2 linked regions of the Oryzias latipes genome follow. The protein of the gene in region 2 binds, or shares a complex with, the protein of the main gene of each other region. Links are inferred from orthologs where the notes say so. Each region holds a gene or a part of one and is shown on either strand. Other genes may lie near its edges.

The links. Proteins that work in one complex are often made in the same cells at the same time.
Region 1: the proteins of galr1 (region 2) and gal are in contact, whole or in part, in a cryo-EM structure (PDB 7WQ3), measured with the Homo sapiens proteins. The link is inferred for Oryzias latipes from reciprocal best matches to the Homo sapiens genes GALR1 and GAL. Residues at the interface, in NP_001471.2 of Homo sapiens: Glu32, Gln92, Thr94, Val95, Tyr96, Leu98, Pro99, Thr100, His112, Gln174, Phe177, Arg180, Gln184, Phe186, Cys187, Trp188, Glu189, Gln190, Ile266, His267, Ala270, Phe275, Leu277, Ser281, Phe282, Arg285; in NP_057057.2 of Homo sapiens: Gly33, Trp34, Leu36, Asn37, Ser38, Gly40, Tyr41, Leu42, Leu43, Gly44, Pro45, Val48.

What each region holds. Positions count from the first base shown.
Region 1 is NC_019864.2:4,848,296-4,852,564, forward strand, and holds the start of gal (galanin peptides), read right to left. Parts: upstream 2,836-4,269; 5' UTR 2,734-2,835; intron 2,653-2,733; coding exon 2,572-2,652; intron 1-2,571. UniProt on the Homo sapiens protein: Endocrine hormone of the central and peripheral nervous systems that binds and activates the G protein-coupled receptors GALR1, GALR2, and GALR3.
Region 2 is NC_019874.2:2,339,232-2,343,339, reverse strand, and holds the start of galr1 (galanin receptor type 1), read right to left. Parts: upstream 2,838-4,108; 5' UTR 2,318-2,837; coding exon 1,652-2,317; intron 1,544-1,651; coding exon 1,478-1,543; intron 917-1,477; coding exon of another isoform or gene 767-916; exon of another isoform or gene 751-766; intron 1-750. UniProt on the Homo sapiens protein: Receptor for the hormone galanin. The activity of this receptor is mediated by G proteins that inhibit adenylate cyclase activity.

The DNA of each region.
Region 1 (4,269 bases), on a different chromosome or scaffold from region 2:
CAGTGAGATTATCATCGGAGCTCTGACTAGAATTACTCTGGTGGTTAAATGGTCCATGATTTAATTAACCAATTATTCAAGTAATCTGGATTATTTGCAGAATCTGAAGCTAATCAAAAGGACGGCTTTTCTCCCAGCAGCATCACTCTCAGTTCTGCAGCAGAGCAGTTGTGGTTTAGAAGAGAAATGTCTTCATCCTGAAACAGAGGGTGATTGTGAGCTTTGTTTGATCTGAAGCTGGTGTCCGAGTGTGGCGGGTGGGTCTGGATGATGGTCAGCATAAACAAACACATGGCTTCTTTTAGCAAACGAGGCTGTCGCACGTCTTCTGCAACTTGCTTCAGTTTCATAATGAAAGTAAGTTCATCAGTAAGAAGCAGCTGTTCTTCTTCAATCATCAGCATCCAAACGCTGAAAGTCAGCCTCACAGGAGTGAGTTCAGTCAGAGCAGGGAGAGAAGCCATCACCGTTGCTTCCTCCCGACATTTTCCTGATTCTTTCCATTTGAGCTTGTTTTTCCTTTCAGCAGATTAGCTAAAGCCAAACCCCCCTGGAGCATTCACACTGACGGCTTTACTTCAACCAGAGCCAGTTTCCTCTGATGGTCCTCCTGGTTCATGAGGTGTGAAATTCACCTGCACTCTGGTCGTGACCCAAAAGAACTCCTGAAGGTCTCTGTAGGTGAAGGGGGGGGACATTTATTAGCATTCCCACCCAGTTCTATTGGGGGAAAGTCCCTCTTGAAGCCGTTGTAAAATCAACTCTCAGTGAAATCATCTTTATTTTTATCATTTTTCATTTTTATGCTATATTTAATTTCACTTTGTGTCAAACTACAAATGTATAGTATTTGAGTTGATTTAAGTTTTTGCGGCTTCTTTTTAACTCTTTGTGGTCTCACCCACCTTTACTTAGCTGCAGGTCTGATTGTCAGTGACAGACCTTCATGTGTTCACAGATGGACCTTATAAAGTAACATAACCATCAGGATGTGTAACTGGTGCTTTAAAACATCTTCAGAAAAGTTAGCTAGAAAAAAACCTTTAAATCATTTGGAAAATACATTTTAAATGGTAAATGGCGTATACTTATATGGCAGTCCCATTCACTCACTGATGGCAGCTCCGATGACTAACACTGGCGCCAGCCTTTAAAACCTTTAAAACATAGGTATATATTGAATGATGTATTTCATTGAGGCTAACTTAAATTGATGTAATTTAGTTCGGTATTCTAAAAAAAGGAATTGTTTTATGCATTTTTATGTGTTAACTTCATGATATAAAGATAAGAGGAGTAAAGGATCAACAGGTGTTTAAATAATTCCAAATACTTTTGTCAACCTGATTGTGGTGAAAAAATCAAAGTTCTTTTAATTACAACCAATGAGTATTAATGTGCAATAATGATTACTGAGATGTCTGAATTACAATCAATAACTATTGATTTTCTTTATTGATCTGCATGTGTAGCAATAATTACTGGTTTAATGTGTTCTAATGATAATCAATTATTATTACATAACGATTATCGTTACTGTTTTCTGAAATCATGAATGAACGTTTTCTGTAGATAATCAATCATTAATTAGAACTGGATTTAGTAACTTCAAAAGAATCTATCGGATCAGAACCAGATTACTAAAACTATAAAATGAATTAACTCAGTAGGGGTGGGATTACATAAGATCACTTCCTCCGCTCCTTTTCAAGCAGTAAATCAAGCTCTACTTATACTTTAGTTAATGATCACTGTATTTAATTAAGCAAATGTGACTTATGTGTCTTTTTTTCTGTTTTATTTTCTTTTTTTATCTATGCATTTCATCATTTCTGTAATGAGTTTCATAAATCTGTGTAAAATCTTTATTGCTTTGACTACAATGCTTGAAATCAATCAATCAATCTTGTAATGTTCATTGAAACCATTCAGTCATTGGACACAATCATCAAATAAAATAGGAAGTTATGGAAGAAATGTTCCAAACAAAAAAAGTACAGTAAATTCCATAAATCCATCTCTAGTTCTGAAGAAGGAAAACAAACTTTCTGTGTGTTTGGAGCAATGTTCTCCTTTGCTCTCTAGCTGTTCTTTCAGGGGATCTTTTTCACGTATTTAAGTGCGACCAAGCACAAAAAGTGAAGAAAATTCCTGTTGTGCGGCCAACATGCGCATGCGCTCGGATTTTCAGGTTAAGCGTTGTTGGATGCGCGTTTTGGAAGAGGTCATTAAAGCAGGAAAGGCCACCAGGTGGCACAGCCAACATTTACCCACAAAGTCACGTTCAGCATCAAAAGACTCCAGTTCTGCCCCGGCCTCACCTCACGTATCTTAGAAATGAGGTGAAGGAAGTCACTTCCTTTTCTTTAACGTTCCTTAGTTGTTGTTTTTTTTTTCACATATTTTTTGTATGAATTTTCTCCATTTTTTAACTGACCACATCTAAACTATTAAGAGGCTGGCATGTTCCCTGATCTTCTCTTGTTCTGCTCAGTCTTTGGCCCCTTTCTTTCATTTCCACACCCTGCCGGTTCCGTCCGGGACCCTGAGTGACGCGCGCGCGCTGCTTACCGCGATAACCAGCCCGATGCTCTCCGACAGCGCCGCGCAGAAGATGAGCGACGCGCAGAGGATCCCCAAGCACTTGTGCATCTGGGGAGCGCAAGAAGAAGCGGATGAGCTGGAGCCAGGCTGCGGGTGAGTGAGCGGAGCGGCCAGCCTGCAGCGCCTTACCTTTTCAGCGGGAGAGATGGCTGCAGCAGAATCTGTGCGCTCTGGTAACTGGTTTGGACGCTCCGCGCGCACCGGCCGGCTTTTATGGGCGACCCCGCCGCTACCTGCTGGCGTCAGCAGCCCCCAACCCCCTCCTGCGGACATGACGGGCAGGTCACGAACACGGGTGTCACCGCATCACCCCCACCACCTCCCGAATTCAATTTGACAAACGCTCCTCGTCCGCAGTTCCGCGCTCATTCATCAATGAAGGTCAGGAGAGGATCCGGACCATCACTCAGACTCACTGGTCTCTGTGGTCCGGTTGGCTGGAGCTTCTGTGGGTTCAGACAGGCTGATTCTGCATCTGTCATGACCCAGTTAAAGGTTCGCAGAGGTTTGGAGAGGGGTCTCCTTCACAAAACCCGCAGCTCCTCTCCAGCTGTTCGTTCGTTCAGGAAAGTTTAGGTTTTGGTTTTTTGTAGTTTGAATTCGGGGTTGGGCTCACCTACTCAGTCAGGTACTTCAGCAGTTCCCTGTGCTGCACGGTGATCAGGTGATCTCATTCTGGTCCCTGTAGCCTCGTCCTTCACAGTTGATGTTTTTCTGCAGAAATGCTGTTTCTTTTCCTGCTGGTATCATAGATTAGCATCTTTCACTTTGAATTTCATAAAGACTGTAACATATTTTAATAATTTAAGGCGCTACTTCTTTTTTTGTCTATGATCCTCGTCCCTGTCTGAATCTTATGTCCTGCATGAATTTAACCACCTTGCTTATTGTTTTGCCCCCCCCCCCCATCCCCCCATCTGTCTCAGTCTTTGTCCTGATGAGGTTTTGTTAACGGAGTCTCCATCACTGAGTAGCAGACATGAGTGAAGTTAGCAGAGACTCAGCTCACAACATTCAAATCATCACTAGAACAGGACAATGAGGACTTTACTTCCTGGTTTTGTCCTGTTTTCCTTTATGAAAGTTGTTATCGTTTTCTGTTAACCCGGTGAGGAGCTCCGTCCGTTTATGTGTAACCATCACGTCCTCTCCACTTCTCTGTTGGTGGATACTGTATACACTGAACAAAATATAAATGCAGAACTTTTGTTTTTTGCTCTGATTTGTCACGAAAAAAGGCCGGATTCTTCCCCAACCCCGCCGGCTCCTCCTTATTGCTCCCACTGTAGGGCCATTTAGAGCTTTAGTGGTGTGTAAGGTGTTTTTTTGGGGGGGAGCTGGAGCGACTTAGGGCTGGGTATCTGTTATGATTGGCTCTTTGGCTGCTCTTTGATCGGTCGATCTTCAAGGACATGAGGCTAGATTGCAGGCCAGCAAAGATAAATAACACAAAAAAATACGTAATTGAATCATATCCTCACCGAGAAGTACGGGACTTGATTGACATGCAGAACGGCCAATCGAGCATCCTCTGATCCGTACGCGTGTTTAAATTCATCATCATCATTCATTCGTCTTCTTCCGTTTCGTCCCTTTTGGGGTGACGGGGCTGCTGGAGCCTATCCCAGTGTTACGGTTTGGGTTTTTTTCTTTTGTTTTTGGTTC
Region 2 (4,108 bases):
GTATTTATGGGTAGAAAGGGGTTCCACACTGTCACATCTAGGGATGGATACCGAGCCCCGGAATTGAACGAGGCAACATTCTTCAAGACCGCAGTATCGTTAAGATCTGACCTCAGCGGTTCTGCTATCGGTACTGGAGAAGTCGCTTTTTTTGTGGCCCACAAGATACAAACTAGAGCTGTGACGGTGTGGGATTTTGATCACCGCACTGATGTCGCGGTGTCGCCGTCACCCGCACCCCGCAACCCTGTACCGTTAAAACCTTAACGATACCCATCCCAGTCACACCTGGTGAAGATTGTGACGCACAAAGGATTGAAAAACAGCTCTTAATCAAACCCTAAAAGCCAACATTCCAAAATATTACCATCTCTTCTGTCCAGGCTGAAAACAAATTTACATCTCTATGATTGGCATCTTGCTGAAAAAACAAAGACTACAGCAAACTAATGCAAGTCCCAAAACTGAGAGAAAAATCATCCTTCAGGAGGCACTGATTAATTTTAACCCAGTTTTCAACGGGATCAGTTTTTTTTGTCTGATTTCAGGTTCAATTTAATGATCATTTGCATAATTGGATCTCCCCAAGTAATCATTCAGAGCTGTTGCAGTCTACAGACACAACTTTCAACACAAAAAAACTGGAGCAGATGTCACTCTTTATGGAAATGATGCATTTTCCTAACAACAACCGTTTTCACAATCCCAAAGCATGCGCACACACACTGCCTGCATGCACTGACCACATACATGCAGCAGCTCGTTGTCACAGATTCATGCGGCATTCCCTCTTTCCTTTCCCTGTGCAGTGGGAGAGAGCGCCTGACCGTCCTGCTCTGCCTGCTGCCCTAACGTCAAGGTCCTCGCTGTGTGGCGCGAAGCAGCCAAGAACCTGACCAGCCATGAAGAGCAACGGCTGCAAAGAGGCACACAGGCAGGACAGCAATCAAGAGGACCACTGATTAGTGGAGTGAATGACCTCCGTCGAGACAAGTGACGGCTACAAATGCCAGTTTGAGGACAGGCTGCTCTAAAGGCAGCGAACAGAAACGACTGAAGCAGTAATATTGGAGCTCAGCCTGCAGAGGATGGAGTTATTTCTGGCTACTTAAGGACATCCATGCGACTGGATGGACATGCACCTCTTCTAAATCAAACTGTATGTCAGTAGAAAGGATGAGGCGGAAGCCATAAAAACGAATTAAAAATGACACTCATCACCTCATCACAATTACAAAAATATAAGATTGGATTCAGTGCAGGAGAGGCTAATTATCAAATAAAAATGTAGTCAGTTGGATCTCAGTGAGATTACTGAAATAAATCTTTTCCTTCCCTGAGATGAGACTCGGTTATTACACAGTCATAACTCATCAGTTCAACAGGTAACATCAATCCATCATGTTCTGTAGAATCTTTGTAAAAGAAAAATAGAAGTTGGAGCAAAATGACACCTAAAAAAATAAATGACACCTACCTTTTTCTTTGAGGCTTCTGACTTTTTGGACATATTTCTGAGTTTTTTATGTAAGTGATTTAACACCTGTAACCAAGAAAAGAGAGATGAGATGCACATCCGTTAGATCATCAGTGATGTCAACGTCGGTTTGGTGACCCATGGCCACTTTTTATTTTGGATTGTTCCTCTTACCTTTGCGTAACAGAAGGAAATCAGCAGCAGAGGCAAAACATAACCAAAAACAAAGGTGCACACCACGTAGATCTTTTTCTGGGTCTGATCTGGCCACACTTCCCAGCAGAAAGTGTAGTTGTCCGAGCTGTGAAAAATGTTCTGGTAGTGCATGATGGGCGCTGCCATGACCAGAGAGATGATCCAGATCACCACGACCCCGATCAGGGCGTACTTCGCCACCCGAATGGAGGACGACTTTCTGGAGTGCACGATGGCGATGTAGCGGTCCACGGACATGGCAGAGAGGGTGAAGATGCTCACCAGCATGGAGACGGTGAAAAAATAGTGGATGAACTTGCAAATGAATGCGCCCAGGACCCACGACGGCAGGATGTAGACGGTGGACTGGAAGGGGATGCAGAAGAGCAGGTAGGACAGGTCTGCGATGCTCAGGTTCAGGATGAAGATGTTGGTGGTGCCCCGCGGCTTGCCGGGTTTGCTCCGGGCCAGAACGGTGATGACCACGGAGTTGCCCAGGACGCCGAGCGTGAAGATGAGCCCGAACACCAGCAGCGAGATGAAATTATCCGTGCCGATGCCAAATAAGAGTTTCCGCTCCTCGTTTTCCATTGCGCTCAGGTTCAGCGGCTCCTCGAGGAGCCACAGAGACTCCGACAAGTTCATGATAGATTCAGTCCTCCTTGGACAAACTTTACACGATCACCAAATCGGCAGGGCAGAGATCCAGCGGCGCCTCAAGACGCAGAGATGTCACTCAAACGGTTTAATCTGCCTTCGTCAACGCGCGAGCGCTGTTTTGGATTGATTTGAGATTCTATGTCACATTCCCGCTTTATTTTTGTCAATAACATACAACTAGAATGTGAATGAACGAATTCCCCCAAATCTAACCTGTCTGCTGCTCAGCATAAATCGAGATTCGCGCTGTGGATGTTGGAGGATCTCCGGTGCGCAAAAGACGCGTCTGCGCTCCGTGCGCCCTCATCCAGACTGCTGCCCACTTCTCTGCGTCTGGACCTTCTCTCACATAAATTGCGGGCTGGGCTGGGCCATCAACGTCAGAGTTCGTACCACCTCCAAAGAAATAGAAAAAAGAGAGAAAGAGAAGGAAAAACACGAAAGCTTTGTACTCATTGCGGCTCTGAGTCTATCCTTGTATAGTTTAAAAGCCGGCAATATGTTTAAAGAGAGACGGGCTTTAGTGAGATAAAGATTTGATTTTATGCTTAGACTGTAAAGATTGCTACATCAAAACAAATTATCTGATTTGTCTCTCTTCCTATTAAAGTGTTTTCGCAAAGAAATGAGACTGCGAGAGAAAAAAATAGATCACTGAAGAATAAAAACGTCTTTTCAAACCTCTGGGCATGACGTGAAAACCCTTTGAAGACCAACTCCAATTAAAATTGTCTTTCTAAAATATTCTTATGGAATTTTTCTGATGATGGAGGACATGTAAAAAAATTCATATCAAAATTGTATTTTTGAGTATTTCTTTGTTAAAAACGCTGTGAATCAGGAGCGGACAAAAAGAATCAGTTTGGAAAAGCTTATGGTGTGACAGAATACATGGCAGGTCATAAGCTCCTCGCTTCACTTCATTCTGATGCCTCCACTGTCAGACAAATAGATCCACTTACGTCTTTGTTTTGCTCATCCAAGCTGGCATCTGGATCTAAACTGTACAGCTGAATAGCTCCTATATCGCGTCGTTTGCCATTTTTGTTACACCACTGGAGATTTGTGCAAGGCTGTAAGCTACTGGGAGAGAGTGTAAACAGATGGATGATGGGAAGTGGGGGTGGCCTAATCCTCACCAACAGTCCCACAATTTAGAGGTGTATTTCTACTGAATTATTGCTGCCTTGCAGAAACTATGTCCTAAAAACAACACAGGTTTTTGGATTTGGCTAATAATGGCTTAATCATATCTAAAAGACCCATGGGAACGCTTTGAAAATAGGTCAAAAGATGATCGGAGTGGGACTTTTAAAGAGTCTAAATTATTTTTACTGGTCAAAGCTATTTTAAAATGTACATCTTACCTATATTTCTTTACAGATTCATGCAGAAGACCACCTTTTGTCAACAAAATCAAATCAAACTGTTCATTAAATAGAAATTGTTTTCTGTTTGAATCCACAGAACAGCAGTCTTTGAGGAGCATACCATACACTGTAATAAAGAAGCAATAATATTTTGGAGACTTATTCAGGAAAACCTTTTACATCATCAGGGTAATTGAGGAACACCCTCTAGGTGGTAAATGTGTCAGAATCTAAGATGATTTCAGAAAAGCACAAGCCGCAGGCTCATCAGATCTGTATTTCAAACCCTTGACTGCTTACATTCTTGTTTGTGATACTATTTGTAAAATAGCTGGAGGCATTTTTATATGGAGTTTCTGTCTGCCACGCCGAGAAGCTTCAATGATCTTCCACTAAACAGTTTATT